2 linked regions of the Diceros bicornis minor genome follow. The protein of the gene in region 1 binds, or shares a complex with, the protein of each later gene. Links are inferred from orthologs where the notes say so. Each region holds a gene or a part of one and is shown in the gene's direction. Other genes may lie near its edges. The genes, in order: RBSN and RAB4A.

What was found.
Region 2: the proteins of RBSN (region 1) and RAB4A are in contact, whole or in part, in a crystal structure (PDB 1Z0K), measured with the Homo sapiens proteins. The link is inferred for Diceros bicornis minor from reciprocal best matches to the Homo sapiens genes RBSN and RAB4A. Residues at the interface, in NP_001289307.1 of Homo sapiens: Glu441, Gly442, Trp443, Leu444, Pro445, Ser447, Glu454, Pro458, Leu459, Gln461, Gln462, Asn465, Ile466, Phe469, Asp480, Glu481, Thr484, Leu485, Asn488, Leu492, Glu495, Gln499; in NP_004569.2 of Homo sapiens: Tyr10, Leu30, His31, Ile34, Glu35, Ile46, Gly47, Val48, Glu49, Phe50, Gly51, Ser52, Lys53, Lys63, Gln65, Trp67, Arg74, Phe75, Ser77, Val78, Ser81, Tyr82.

What each region holds. Positions count from the first base shown.
Region 1 is NC_080741.1:87,281,864-87,290,205, reverse strand, and holds the start of RBSN (rabenosyn-5), read left to right. Parts: upstream 1-5,155; 5' UTR 5,156-5,275; intron 5,276-7,921; 5' UTR 7,922-8,091; coding exon 8,092-8,239; intron 8,240-8,342. UniProt on the Homo sapiens protein: Rab4/Rab5 effector protein acting in early endocytic membrane fusion and membrane trafficking of recycling endosomes. Required for endosome fusion either homotypically or with clathrin coated vesicles.
Region 2 is NC_080745.1:26,216,056-26,223,455, forward strand, and holds the start of RAB4A (ras-related protein Rab-4A), read left to right. Parts: upstream 1-4,047; 5' UTR 4,048-4,409; coding exon 4,410-4,440; intron 4,441-7,400. UniProt on the Homo sapiens protein: The small GTPases Rab are key regulators of intracellular membrane trafficking, from the formation of transport vesicles to their fusion with membranes.

The sequences.
Region 1 (8,342 bases):
CTATATAATGTACTTATTTAGTATATACATTGTTTAGTGTCTGTGTCTCTCCACCAGAATATCAGCTCCTTGAGGGCAAGAACTGCTGTCTGTTTGGTTTATCTCAGGGACCCAGGTAGGCAGATGCTCAATACATAGTTTGTTGAATGAACTTAAAATCGTGACCCTAAGTCGATTGCTGAGTTACACATTTTAAACTGGAGTCCTAAGTCTAATGTGTTGGATGCTTTACACTCCAAACATTCTTAAATGCCTCAAATAGTTAAAACATCACATTTACATGGATTATTTTGAATCTGGGTTGGAATTGGGGTTAAATTCTCAACTGGCTGAGCGTGCATATCTCCAGAGATTTCAGTCAAAGCAATGAGAAGTGAAACTGCAGAACACCAGTGTGATTTTTCTCACGACCTGAGGACCAGGCTGAGCCTTCATCCTCATCCCTGGCCCTGGGACCATCGTGTGGGTTGTGTATAGCACAGCCGAGGGGTTGATGGGAGCAGAAATCCAGTCTGTGCCCCACTTGCCAAGTGCAGAGCTTGAGTCCTGGCACAGGGCTGCATCCATTGGAGGGTGGGGGGCCTCTTTCCCATTCACAAAGGCCCCTATGGGCTGGTAGTGGCCCTGTTTTGTCAAAAGAGATGCCAGCCCACAACCTGCAAATCGGGTCGCCTTGGAGCTCACATCCCCCCAAGTCAATTCCATATTTTCTACTTTTCAGGTCTGTTGAGGCTGCCACTCCCTGCCCCCTCCAGCCCCCCTTGGATGCAGTGAATGTACTTACTATTTGATTCTATTCTGAGTTCCCACCCAGCAGGGCCATGACTCTCAGAGATATTTCCATGACACCAAGTGGGCTCCTCATACCTCCTATGAGACTGACACAACTGCCAAGGCATTTGAATGACACCTCCCTTCCTTTTTCTTTATTTAACAAACATTTACATAGTCCTTCCTATGTGCCAGGCACTGTTCCAGCACTTTCTAAATATTAACCTATTTAATCCTCCAACCTAGGAGGTAGGTACTATTATTATCCCATTTTACAGATGAGGAAACTTAAGTGACTTGCCTGGGATCACACAGCTACAGGGCTAGGACTCAAACCCGGGTTGACTGGCTCTGAAGTTTGTGCTTATAATCATGATGTTTTGCTACCTCATAACTTTTTTCTTATCATTCTTTTCTCCCTCTTTTCCTACGTGCTTCCCTCTCTTTCTTCCCCTTCCTCTCCTCTTTCCCTCTCTTCTTTCCTCTGTTCTCTGCTTTCTTCCTTCCTGACCCTGAGCAGCTGCCACCTGCTTCCCCAGGACACTGCCCAGTCTGGTACACCCTCTGCCAACTCTCCAGACCAGGCCCTGCTCTCCTGCCACCCTGCCAGTCCCTCCATCATTACTCTCATTTCCCTGTGCCAGTAGATGGGGTGTGCCAGCCTCTACCCCCTCAACCCGTCTGCTCACGACCACAGGCGGCAGTTGGCAGAGGTCTGGCAAACGGGGGCCTGGGCCAGCCTGGAGGGAAGCTGGATCTTTGGGCAGTTACATGATGTGCTGCACACCTTCCCCTGACGTAGGCTTACCCACATCGTGATTTCCGTTTCCTGCTCAGGGATTTTAATGTGATGCCAAGACATCTCGTGGTGCTTGGGATGAACTTAGACAATAAGGGGCCAGAAAGAAAGAGACAAAGAGAGAGGGATAGAAAGACAGGGAGAGAGAGAGAACTCTAACGGGGAAGGCAAAAGGGGAAGAGAGCCAGTTCTCTGAGGTTCTACCATTAGAAGCAGCTCCCTACAGTGTTGGGAACAAGGAGCAGTATGAATGAACTTTTCTAAGTTTCTCAAAGGATGCATGTTCTTCTGCATGACCATGTCTTTGCATATGCTGTTCCCCCGGCCTGGAAGGCTCTTCCTGATCATTTCTACCTGAGGGCTCTGCTCATGTGTTGCCACCTCTGGGAAACCGTCCCTGAATTCCCACAGGTGATTCTGCCTCCCCTTTGATGCCAGAGCTTCTGCACATATGTGCACACTTCTCTCTTTTTTAACTATTTGGCTTATAAGCATCTGTGTCCCCTGCCAGCTGAGCCCTCCTCCAAGACTGAGACCATCCTGCTTTATTCTCCTTACACCCTCTATCTCTATGCCTGGTACACAGTTGGTGCCTGGAAAATGCTGAGAGATGCAGGAAGGCTCAGAGATCAGACCTTCACAGAGGAAGGAAAATTGGGAGTGGTGAAAGTCTCAAGGCAAGATGACTCTGGGTTCAGCACTTACCAGCTGTGTGACCTTGGGCAAGTCACCTAACCTCTCTGTGCCTCAGATTCCTCACTTATAAAATGGGAATGATATTAGTTTGTACCACATAGGGTTGTACGAGAATTAAATAAGCTAAGACATGTAAAGCACATAGAACAGTGACTGGCACATGTGAATCACTCAGTTAATATTAATCATTATTATTATTATTAAAATGCAAATAGTAATAGAGTTTCCCAAAGGATTTAAGCAATATAAGTGCTTTTGATAAACTGTAAAGCATACAGGAAGGTCTTTGCCACCATCATCCCTTAAAAATATCAATAGAACAGCAGTGGCTGATCCATCATGATTTTCAGAATTAATTCACAAGCTGCAGCCCACATTGCCACTGCTTTTTTGAGCAAATGAAATGGTGAATGTGACACTGGCTTTTGTAAATGACAGGCAAAATCATGATGGTTTAATAAAAGGCTCATCGCCTGACCCCAAACATAGTCCTGCCTGTAAGCACGGCCGGTTCTGGGACTTATGGCCCCAGACATTCAATAAGGTGTTTTCACTCTCCAAGTCCTGGCTACCGCAAGCCAAGGCAGAGGCCGGGGACAGAGAGACAGAATTGGGTCTGTTGCTTTGCTTCTGACAGGTTGGCAAGTCTCTTCCTTGTCTGTGCCAGCACACAAAGAGGAGTCACTGTCCACTCCCGCCAACCCTGTCAAGTTTAAAAAAAAAAGGGGGGGTGACCAAGTTGAAAAAATAAAAGAGCTTGCAAATCTTTGGAAGCTATTTTACCTGTACAGATGGGAAAACTGAGGCCAAGAGAGGGGAAGGGATCTGTTCAAAGTCACAAAGTAAGGTGCAGGCAGAGCTAGAACCCAGGTCTCTTGACCCTTAGCTCACCGCCCTTTCACTGGCGATTGCCTTCCAAAAACTCAATGCTCTCCACACTGGGAGCCCCAGGTCTTAAACGGAAGGTGATGGAGGCCCAGCACTAGGTGCGGAATCAGTGCTCCTGTCCACAGGCGGAGCCAGTGTTAGGGATGCCTCCTCACTATCACCTCACTCAGTCCTTACAACCCTATGAGATGGAGACTATTATTTTCATCCCCATTTTACAAATGGTGATACCAGGAGTCGAAAGGGTCAAGCAACACTGCTGGAACATGAACCAAGGCTGCTTTCTGACCCCAAAGCTCAGGATCTTCCCATCATGCTCTGCAGCTCTTTTTCTGGAGCCCAGGCCATTGCTGAAGGCCAGCACTTGTGCAGGGCACAAAGCAAACAGCTCCCCAGAACTGGGATGAGGTTTTGTCTCTATACACCCTGTGGTACTCAGCACAGCGCAGGGCATGGAGTAGGTGCTGACTGATCACTCTGTCTTTTTTTTTTTTTTTTTGAGGCATAATGTACATATAACATTATATTAGTTTCAGATATACAAAATAATGATTTGATATTTGTATATATTACAAAATGATCACCACAATAAGTCTAGTTAACGTCATCATACAAATTACAAATTTTTTTTCTTTTTAAGAGAAATTTTAAGATCTACTCTGTCAGCAACTTTCAAGTGTGCAATACGGTATTATTAACTATAGTCACCATGCTGTACATTACATCCCCGTGACATTTATTTTATAACTAGAAGTTTGGGCCTGTTGACCCCCTTCACCCATTTCAGCCACTTCCCACCACTCGCCTCCAGCAACCACCAATCTGTTCTCTATATCTATGAGTTTGGTTTTCTGTGTGTGTGTGTTTTAGATTCCACATATAAGTGAGATTATACGACATCTGTCTTTCCCTGTCTGACATATCACTTAGCATAAGGCCCTCAAGGTCCATCCATGTTGCTGCAAATGCAAGATGTCCTTTTTTTTTTTTTTTTTTTTGTGAGGAGATCAGCCCTGTGCTAACATCCGCCAATCCTCCTCTTTTTTTGCTGAGGAAGACGGCCCTGGGCTAACATCTGTGCCCATCTTCCTCCACTTTATATGGGACGCCGCCACAGCATGGCTTGCCAAGCAGTGCGTTGGTGCACGCCCGGGATCCGAACCAGCGAACCCCGGGCCGCCGCAGCGGAGCGCGCGCACCCAACCGCTTGCGCCACCGGGCCGGCCCCGCAAGATGTCCTTTTTTGTGGCTAAATTATGTGTGTGTGTGTGTGTGTGTGTGTGTGTGTGTGTGTGTGTGTGAACATTATTTCTTTATCCATTCATTCATCAATGGACACTTAGGTTGTTTCCCTATCTTGGCTACTGTAAATAACACTGCAGAGAACATGGGGGTACAAATATCTTTTTGAGTTAGTGTTTTTTTCTTCATTTAAATACCCAAAAGTGGAATTGCTGGATCATATGGTAGTTTTATTTTTAATGCTACAGATTTGACCACGCTGTACACCCTCTGCATGGATGCTCCCTCTCATTCCAAGTCCCCACTCTCACGTGGATCTTTTTACATTCTCCAAGTCTCCTGAATATTACTTTAATCTCTAGCTCTCAGGAGCTTTAATTGACCCGAATTAATGCAGAACTGCAGTTGGGGGTGGGGTAGGGGGCGATAAAGACTCCTCCGCCGCCTCATTCACTGCTCACCTCGGTCAAGAGCTAAAGAACCGCAGGCTTCAGTCATCGCATCCGTACAACGCGGCGGAGAGCAAGAGGCTGGCTTTAACGTGTTGCCTGTAAGTACCTAGGACGTCAACACGCCCGCAAATTAACCAGCGGCCCCCCCGCGCTCCCCCCGCCCCCGCGCTTCTTACAGCGCCTGCGTAGAAGCCGCCGGCCGCCCTGCGCCGTTTGCATCCGTCCCCGCCCCTTTCTCGCCCTCGAAGACTCGGCGCTCGACGGGCGTCTGTCAGCCTGCTTTCCGGTTTCGGCGCCGCCGCAGGCGCGCCTGCCGAGCGCCGAGCAGCCATGGAGATGGCGGCGGCGGCTGTGTGAGGGACCGTGGAGGCCTAGAGCCCGGGCCGGAGGGCTGGACAGGCCTGCGTGCCCGCGGAAGCCCTACCGGGTACAGAGGGCTGGGCTGGGCCTGAGGGGCAGGAGCGCCGAACGGAGACGGGCGGGCCGCGCGGGGGTGGGATGTGTGAGGTTGTGGTGGGTGTGACGTGCGTGGTGGGAGATGTGGCTTTCGGGCTGTGCGTTTCGCCTGTGTGTGCTTGCGATGATTGGGCTCTATTTGGTTGTGTGGTTATGCGGGGCGTGTACAGTTGTGTTGGGTTATGAGGCTGAGGAGGGAGGCGGTTGTCTCCCGAGTGTTGTTTGGGTCTCTGGTTGTGTGAGGTTGAGGCATTTGGGTTCTGAGTTTGTGTGGAGTTGTTTGTAGTGTTTTGCGTGTCACCTGTGCAGTGTGTGGAGTTGTCATGTCTGCTCTGTGGGTCTTTCATGTTGTGTGGTTATGCGACGTGTGCACAATCGTGTTGAGTTCTGTGGAGGGTGGTTGTGTGCGGTGGTGAGGCGGGGATGAGTGGGCTGTGGGATACGCAGTCTTTGCGGCATGTGGCCGGGGAGCGCTCGTGCTGGACGTATACTTGCAGGATATGTAGATTTTATTTATTTATTTATTTACGTTGTTTAGGGTGTGAGGGGCTTGCATATGCTATGGTTGTGGGGTCTGGCTGGTTGGTTTGTGGTAGATTTCTTTGGTTTGTGGTGTGTATTTGGTTATATGATTTTAGAGTTCGTGCATTCTTTCATTCATGGAGCTTTATTTTGTTTCTTCGTGGTCTGTGCCAGGCGCTGTGCTAGACTCTGGAGAGGTGGTGCTGGTGAAAACAGACATGGTCTCTGCCCTCACAGAGCTTACAGTCTGATGTATTTAGTCACTTCGTGTACTTGTGGTTATAAATTGAGATAAGTGTTGTGACGGAGAAGAGCAAGGTGTGTCCCACGGGAGAATGCCTCTCCTAAGAGGCATTTCCTTGAGGCAGTGAGGTTCGGTTGAGACGCGAAGGGTGTGTGTGTGTTTGATTTGTGGTTGTTACGGGCCAGTGCGTGGGAAGGAAGGGGGCTGTCAGAGTCAGGGCATCAGATGAACCCCTGGCTGGGGAGGGAACTGGAGCTGCTGTTTCAGTGATCTGGAAGAGGGGCTGAGATCTGCATGTATATAGCCCTTGAGTTTCTTAGCTAAGAAAAAGAACAGGGACCTGGTGTTTCATTTGTGCGTTTTCTGGGTCACTGCCATCCCTCAGCTTTGAGGACCAGGCAGTCCCTCCTCAGTGGCCCTCCAGGCAGGTCCATTCGAAGCTGAGGTCATACATTTCCTCTTCACTCTCTACTGTGGTTTGTGGCCTCGGTTCTTGGGGAGAAATTTCTCTGCTTTTGTGGAATGGTTTTCTGGGAGTCTTTCTGAGATGACATTGGAAGTGACTTTGCCATGGCCTATTAAAACTGACAGTGTAACTCATTAAGCCTTGAATTGTTTAAGCACCAAATCCTCTTATTTTTGAAGCAGTGAGAACATTAGGCTTGCTACTCAACTGTCGCTTATTTAAACTGTCACTTATACAATCTAGTAAGTTCATTGGAGAGAGAGTGCTCTGCAAACAAGACACAAAATACTGACCCCGTGCCTTTTTTTTTTTTTTTTGGCTGAGGAAGATTCACCTTGAGTTAACATGTCTCACCAATCTTCCTCTTTTTGCTTGAGGAAGATTCACTCTGAGCTAACATCTGTTGCCAGTCTTCCTCTATTTTGTATGTGGGTTGCCACCACAGCATGGCCACCAACGAGTGGTGTAGGTCCGCGCCTGGGAACTGAACCCAGGCCGCCGAAGTGGAGCACACCGAACTTAACCACTAGGCCATGGGGCCAGCCCTCGATTTTTCTTCTCCTTCTTCTTTTTTTTTTTTTTGTGAGGAAGATTGGCCCTGAACTAACATCTGTTGCCAGTCTTCCTCTTTTTGCTTGAGGAAGATTGGCTCTGAGCTAACCAGCGTCTGTGCCAGTCTTCCTCTATTTTGTCTGTGGGTCTCTGCCCCAGCATGGTGATGAGTGGTGTAGGTCTGTGCCAGGGATCCGAACTTGTGAACCCAGGGCCGCCAAAGCCGAGCGTGCTGAACTTAACCACTATGCCACTGGGCTGGCCCCCTGATTTTTCTTTTTGACCACTAGGTTTCTAATGCTCCTCCTTAGACTGAGGTTGGGATTTTTGTTTTTTTGGTTTTGTTTGTTTTTTAGGGCAGACTCTATCTCTTTTTCGTTGGTGCATTTTTGACACATCTGCGAGAGCTCAATATATGTGGTTGAATAAATGATCAAGGTAAAGAGGGTCAAATAAAAACTTCTGCTTGTTGATAAGTACTTCAGACATTGCCCCAGTGGCTAAAGTGGCATACAAATTATGAAGTTGGACCATTTGGAATGAATGTTAGAGAATTGCCTTGGTGTTGTGTTTGCTGTTGAAGTTGAATTTTCTTTTCTTGTCTTCAAGAATCTGTGCTTCCCACTTCATTGAGTTGCCATTGTCCAGTGATGTTCTCATATCTTAGAAGGTTTTGTGTTTTGGTCTAAGGATTTGAGAAAGCAGTTTGTGTTCTTAACTTGCACTGAACAATTAAGTACCCTTGTTGAAATGTGAAAAGAACAAAGGAAATTCTCAACTGCTGCTAATTTGCCTGAATTGGCTTTTTCTTCCCTTCTTCTTTCCTTTCTCAGGACTTCTACTCCAGAGAGGAAACCTCATCCAGGGCCATGATGCCACTTCCCCATTATCTGTGTGCTGCTTGGTTAAGCTAATGCTGCAGGAGCCCTGGTCCCTTGTGGAGGAATCAAGCTGACTCTTGGCATGAGGCCCCTGCCTTACAGGGGTTGAGAGGGACACTGCCATGGCTTCTCTGGATGACCCAGGGGAAGTGAGGGAGGGCTTCCTCTGCCCTTTGTGCCTAAAGGACCTGCAGTCTTTCTATCAGCTTCAGTCACATTATGAGGAAGAGCACTCCGGGGAAGACCGTGATGTCAAAGGGCAAATTAAAAGTAAGAGGCGAGGATTTTTTGCTTATCCCATTCTGTCAATGGGAGCTTTAACTCATGGGATAGTTTTCATCAGTTTCCATGTTGCCACAGAACATGATAACAC
Region 2 (7,400 bases), on another chromosome or scaffold:
AAACTGTCAACTTAGAAATCTACACTCACCAAAAATATCATTCAAAAACAGAAGTGAAATAAAGACTTCTTTAGATATACAAAAGCTGAAACAATTCATCAGCCACAGACCTGAGCTTCAAGCTCTGCTACGGGAAGTCCTTCAGGCAAAAAGGAAACAACACCTCATGGAAATCTGAATCTACACAAGGGCCTGAGGAGTCCTGGATATGATAACTATGTAGGTAAATAGAAAATACTTGTTCTTATTGTTTAAATCTATTTAAAAGAGAATTTGCTGCAAAATGTGGTAAATACACACAGTGGAATATTTTTCAGCCTTAAAAAGGAAGGAAATTCTGACACGTTACAACATGGATGAACCTTGAGGACGATACTAAGTGAAATAAGCCCATCACAAAACGACAAATACTGAATGGTTCCACTTACATGAGGTACCTGGAGTAGTCGAATTCATAGAGACAGAAAGTAGAACAGCGGTTGCCAGGGGCTGGGGGAAGGGGGAATGGGGAGTGAATGTTTAACAGGTGCAGAGTTTCAGTTTTGCAAGATGAAGAGTTCTGTGACTAGATGGTGGTGACGGTTGCACATTATGAATGTATTTAATACCACTGAACTGTACTCTTAAAGATGGGTGAGATGGTAAATTTTATGTTATGTGTATCTTACCACAATTTTAAAAAGAGAGAAAATTGGCTGCTTAAAGCAAAAATAATAGCAATGTATGTGGAGTGTATAACAAATGTAAGAAACAGGACATCCACAGTACAGTTGGTGGAGGGGGATGGAGGAAAACTGTTGTGGACTTCCTATACTCTACATGAAATGCATTTTACTTGAAGATGGACTGTGAGAAGTTAAAGACCTATACTACAAACCCTAAAAAATAACATGAAAATAACCTCAGAAGTTATTCCTAATAAACAAAAGAGATAAAACAGAATCATAAAAAATGTCTCTGCCCACTGAAAAGGCCTAGAAGCAGTAACATCCCAGTAGCAGCAAACACAGGTGTACACATATTTAAAAAATTATCAAAATGTATACTTTAAACACGTAAAGCTCTATCAGTTACACTTCAATAAAGTTGTCTAAAACAGAAGCCGAATGAGCTTCCTGGACAGGTAAAAGGCTCCTGTGTTAGTCATAATGTATTTCCACATACACTCTCTTCTTTCCTTCTGGAACATAACAATATTGCACTCCCTGTTCTCTTTGAAATTAGGTGTGGCCACGTCACTTGCTTTGGCCCATAAAATGTAAATGGAAGTGATTTTATCAATTCCTGATGGGATCTTCGTGAGCTAATGCACATCTGGTGCTGTTTCCTTCTCCCACCTGAATGATGGTGGGAGCAAGTGTTTAGATGTGACTTCGGTCAGGCTGGGTCTACAAATGCCCACATGGAGCCGAGCCTCTCGGCCAGAATGGGTGGGGCCGGTAGTCTGAGTGAGAAGTGAACTTTTTGTGTTAGTCATAAGTGTCTTGGGAGGTCTTTGTTACTACAGCTAATTTAGCCCATCCTGACTGAATATTCCCTAACAACAAAGGTGTCCAATCACAGAGGCAGTGTTGTTTGGCACTGGAAGGCAAACTGGTCCAGTGGCCTCTGAGGTCTCTTCCAACTTGAACATAAGAGTTATATGTCACAGCCATCACCAGCCTGGGTGTTTAACTGAGGTCATCTTTGCCAGTCTCCACCTGCCTAAGCAGAACTTGGCTCCTTCTCAAAGTAACACCCAGATATTTCTGAGTCCTCAAGTGCTCAGACACAAGTTGGCTTATGTTCTTCAACTCCAGTTACCAAAGAAAGTCATCATGTTGTAGAGGCTGTGACCAGTGCCCTCTACCAAGCCTAACTTGGCAAGGATGCCACGTCCCTTTGCTCCCAATGCCACTGCTCCCTGGAATGTCAGGGTCATGCTGGATTCTCATCCCTAGGCCTTTTGAAGGCTCCCCTCCAGAGAACCAGGCCACTGTTACAGGTCCAACCCTGTGCCTAGAAGTCCAGAAGGACCTTTCAGTCATTGTCCATCTGTCCCCACTGGTCCCTGCAGAGAAACCACTGTCCCCATCCATGTGGTCCTCTGTCAGTCCTGGGGAACAGGAATCCTTGTGAAACTGGCAGCCCCCTGAGGCTCCTAATTGGTCATTAAATGTGAGGCATTGCCAAGGAGCAAGAAGGAAAGTACCAGCTATTTGCAGGACCCACTGACCTGAGGAGGAGTGGGTGGGATCTATTTTGGAAGAAATCCTTCTCTCTCCATCTCCCTTAGACTAATCTCCAATGTGCCTAGGCTTTTGGAAACATGCTTTTTACTCTATCACAAACTTCCCCTGAAGGGAAAGGAGACAATAACCAGAGAAAACATACATTAATTTTGGCAATAAGTGTCCCTTGCACACAATTAACTGTACTTCAGAACCAAAGCAGTCTCCAAGAATATTTAGAAGAAAATTATTTTCTCTCAAAGATCCAAAGTTACCGAGATGCAAAGAACCTTTCACATTATTATTCAAGGAGGTTTGGCTCCTTCAAACCTCAGCTCTTGAGTATTTATTTCCTTTTCCAGTTGTGATATTTGGCTTTATATTTGCAAACTAAATGATTTCTTTGGGTGGTTTTAACAAAACAGTCTTTCTCAAATGCCTAGGTAAGTCTTTGTTTTCTACAGAATAGAAAACTGCTCTCAGCTTTGAAATAGCAGCTTCATTTTTATTTCTATTACTCTCTCCAGGTTTCAGAGACCCTCAAGGTCCAGTTTCAGTCAATAACCCAAGCGATCACTGTAACCCAGTGATTCCTTTCTTATCCACAGAAGTTTCTGGCAGGAAGAAAACTTTGATCTAAAGAATGGGATCACTGTCTTTCCTCTGAAATAGTTTTAATCAGGATAAGTCTGCTATACTCAGGAGTGTAAATCAAACCTAATATGCAGAAAGCCACACAAGAAAGCAACAAAGTATCTGAGCCAGTGAACAAGTATACAAAATAATTCTAGGAAATGACAGTTCTCACAATATTTCAGCATGAGGTCCTCTCTGTGATTTAGAAGCAAGGATATTTATTTGCTATTAGGTTCAGAGAGAAGAGTAAAATGTAGAGCCAAATAGCCCTTGGGGAAGAGGGGAAAAGGCCTCAGGGAAGGTCTGATGCCAATTTAGGTGGAGGATGGAGCCAAATGGACTTGAAAAAATATATATTTACTGGCATTTTCCCCACCGTCCAAATTACTTGGGAGCTTAGCCAAGGTATATTTTTAGTATTCTACTATGTCTTTTGAACAACGTTGGATCTTATGAGATACCATGTGGCCCTGATCACGCTCAGATGCAGCAAACTCCCAACCAAGATTCTCTTCCCAATAAACGTTTATGTCGACGTTTCCAACAGAAGGGGATCCTGAATTCAGTTTTGCTCCTTAAATCAAAATACTCACCAACGACTCCTAACCTTAGAAATGCATCTCCAGCTGAGGGTCAGGAGATGCTTCCTGCCCATAAGCCACATTCCCCTAAACTGGGATGCAGAGGGGCCAATGTCTACAGTCTTCCCGGCACTCTTCAGCAGTGGTACATCTTAAGCTTCCGTCGGTTTCCCCCAGACACCAGCTCAGCCCCACCCGAGAGGGCCTGGCAGGTTCAGAGAGAAATCTCAGTCTCCCGGCAAGTAAGCCTGCCTCCCCGCCCACAGGGCTGGCCTCTAGCTGGACACCTGGAGCCACTGCCTCCTAGCTACACAGTAACCACCTTCCCGGGTTGAGCATAACAGCTTGAACGAAGTCTTTTCCCGGCTGAGAGCTGCAAATGACGACGACAAAGTCTTTACTGAGGCGGGCTAGTTTGGCCAAAGGACATTCTTCCTCCCCAGGGCTGGCACTTCGCCTCCTCTGCCCAAGAGCTGGAGCCCACTGTCCGCAGCCCTCCGTCACCCACAAGCCTGCCGACCGTCGGCTCCTCCCCACCTCCGCAACCCCGGCTAAGCCAGCCCCGCCCCTCGGCCCGCCCGGCCTCCCCGCGCCCCTCCATGCGCGCCGGCCTCCCCGCGCCCCTCCATGCGCGCCGGCCTCCCCGCGCCCCTCCGCGGGCTGCGTGCGCACGCGCGCCCACGGGCGGGAACCGGCCTCCAGCTCCCCTCTCTCCTCCTCCTTCTTCTCCTCCTCCTCCTGGTCCTCGGCCCGGCCCGGCAGGGGGCGGGGGGCCGTGCGCCTGCGCAGAGCCGGCAGTCCGGCAGGGCAGCAGCCGCGGGGTGGCCGGCGGCTGCCGTGGGGACCGCGGCCCCTCCCTCCTCAGGTCCCCCGCCCCACGCCGTGCCCCACCGAGACGCGGCAGACGACCCCGGCCCTGCCCTCCTGCTGGCCTGGCCAGAGCTGCAGCGGTGACCTGGCAAGAGGCGGTGCCGCTCCCAAGATGTCGCAGACGGCCATGTCCGAGACCTACGGTATGAGGCTGGCAGGGGGAAGCGGGCGGAGGCGGGCCGAGGGTCTCAGGGGCGCGGGGGCCTGGCCTGGGCTGCGGGGTCCCGGAGTGTGGGGGGCGCAGGCCGAGGAGGGCGGGGGGCGCGGGCTGCGGATCCGAGTGCCCGAGCGCGGGCCAGGCTGTGTGCAGTCTGTTGACGGGATCTGCTTTTTCAAGTTTCCTCTGGGTTTTTCTCCGCGTTTACGCCCGGAAGGGTTTTTCTTTCTTAGTCTCATTTCAAGATCTCAGGGTTTGGAAAGCCAGTTTGAGACTCGGTTTCATCTGTGATATTGTCCCCAGCGAGGGATGTGAAGGACTTGGGGCGACGCCTGTGTTTCAGTGTGTTCCTCAGATGTTCCAGGTTGACCTTTCCTGGTGTGGAATTCCTTTCTTTGCAAAGGGATTACAGTGAGGAATTGTCGATAGACTAATCAATTCTTTCTCCGGCGACCTTTTGCCTTATTTACTTCTCTCTCTCTCAGGTGTTTTTAGCCCTTTCTAGGTTGCATTATGGCTATTTATAAATGTGTCATTTTAAGACCATCAACACCTTGGAAGCAGAGCCCTGTCTCCTAATCTTTGCTTCCTCTATAGCACCCACACCTGGAGGTGCTCAACAAATATTTTTTTGAATAAACGAAAACCTTCCCAACTCATATATTGTGTCTTTTTGTTTTTGTTTTAGTCGTGTGTGGTAAAATAAACAGTATAGCATACCTCTGCTTTGTGTCAGGGTCGAGGAGATGTTTACCATCTCTGATCGCTCTTTCAGATGTGTGCATTCTCAGATTAAGACTTTGATTTGGAAGTTTACAGAAGCTCAAGTTCAAAAGTATGTACCTCCAGTTGAATCAGTCTTGTCTGGGTTTGTCCTGGTATGCTGCTCCTTTGCTTCAACAAATATGTGTGGAATGGCAGCATGGAGCCGGTTGTTGCTAGGAGGCGCTGTCAGTACTGCGAGGAACACAGCAGGCCGGCTCTGGTCTCATGGAGTTTACAGTCTAGTGGCGATTCCAGTGTTAATCCAGGTGTGACACTAATGAATGGTTGAAACCCAGGCAGGAGTTCTGCAGGAATGTGGTCTATAGAAAGTAGGTAAGAAAGAAACCCCGCCAGACTGGGGGCCAGGGCAGCCACACATGCCAGAACAGCATGTGCCCAGGCCCTGAGGGACATGCAGTTCCAATAAGGGGGTGTGGTTTAGGCCCCACAGGCCTGGGGAGGGGTGAGGGTGAGGCAGAGAGGGCCTCTCTCCTAAAAGGGGTGGGGTCGTAGTGCATTTGCTCCACCTTCAGCCACTCCTGTGACTAGTACATGCCCTGTTCTTGGTGACACTGGGGACAGGACATCTGTTCCTAGAAGGCTTAGGAAATCCTCCAGGAAGTTGCTAGCTTCGTGGGGACCACTGTTGTCAGAGCTGCAAATGCAGTACATCCACATGGTCTGGTTCTCTCTATGGAGAGCTGCAGTCAGATTTCATAGAGAAAATGAGTTTCTCTAGCAATTTTTGGTTATACTTTTGCTTTTCTTTCAAGTGCTTCTTACCCCACACTTTAAAGGAGCACTAGGGAGGAGTGGAAAGTCCAAATAAGAGACCCAGGTGGGGGTTATGAATTAGTAGAAAGGACTGGAAGAGTTCAGGAGCTAGAGCTTTTCTGTTTCATCTGTCTTATATGAGATGATAACTTGATAAAACGTAGCATACCTTTGGCTTCTCCACTTCAGACAGAGTTAAGTGAACTTGTGAGCATGAACTGACTAAATGCTGATCGTAAGGCCTTGACCATTAATACTGTTATTTCATGGTATCTTCCAAATTTGTTTTTACTTTTTACTAACTGAATTTCATCTTTTCCTCTAATAGAGGAAATTAAAGGAAACTAATAGAAAATTAGTTTTAGAAAGAGCCAGTGTGGCAGTTGCAAGTGCCAACCTAAAATAAAAGTCGCCCAAACCAAGTCCTAAGCTGTCACCTTCACTTCTCATTGCCCATATTTGTGCAGCATTGTTCCCCAAAAGTAAAACAATCAGGTTCCCTCCTTTCAGACGTTTGCCTCTTAGATAGCTGGTAAAGGAATGTTTGCCTAACCTTTAAACACCTTTGTACCCTCTGCTCCTGTTCTCTTTTCTGGAAAAGGAGGCTCTGTGGCTTGACAGGGATATGATGAAAAATAAAGAGCCAATGCTTACAACATACTGTTAATGAGCTGTATCTACCTGCTTTTTAGCGTATTAAAGCAATATTTCACCTTCCATAGACTGAGTAATGTTCAGCGTTTTGCTGCTTTGAAACCACTAACTACGTGAGTACTATGCTTTATATAATGTTGTAATACAAAATTGAAATTTTAAACACTTAGGTTTCAGATTGAAACCGTCAATCTGAATATCCCTAAACTGAAACAGCGTTTCTCAAATATTATTAGATCCACAACATTCTTAAAGCCCTGGCTGGTTAGTGTGGCTTGGGACTTCCCCAGGAGCTCCAGCCATCTGAGACTTGGGAGATCACAAATTGGCCTTACCTAATTTCTGATACCAAAATTTGTGAGACAAAACTGACAAATCAAATAGGTAGTACTCAGCAATGATGTTCAGAAAGGAGCTAAAAAGTATAAGTGGTGTCGAAAACGCTGGAAATAAAAAAAAATTTTTTTAAGAGCTGAGGCAGTTTGAGAGTGAGGAAAAATCTGAGACAAATCTGTACATTGGAGTTTATGCCTTCTACGGTGAAAATGGTTTATGAAACAAGAACACAAATTGTTGGTCCTATTCTAATTTTTATCACAATGTACTCTTAATATTTTTATTTTGTGCTTCGTTTTATAAGTATTATAGTATTTACCACAAAATTTTGAAAATTATCAGGATATTTTCTTTTAAAAATGTATCAGTATTGGCTGTTATGGGTTGAATTGTGTCCCCCAAAAGATATGCTCAGGT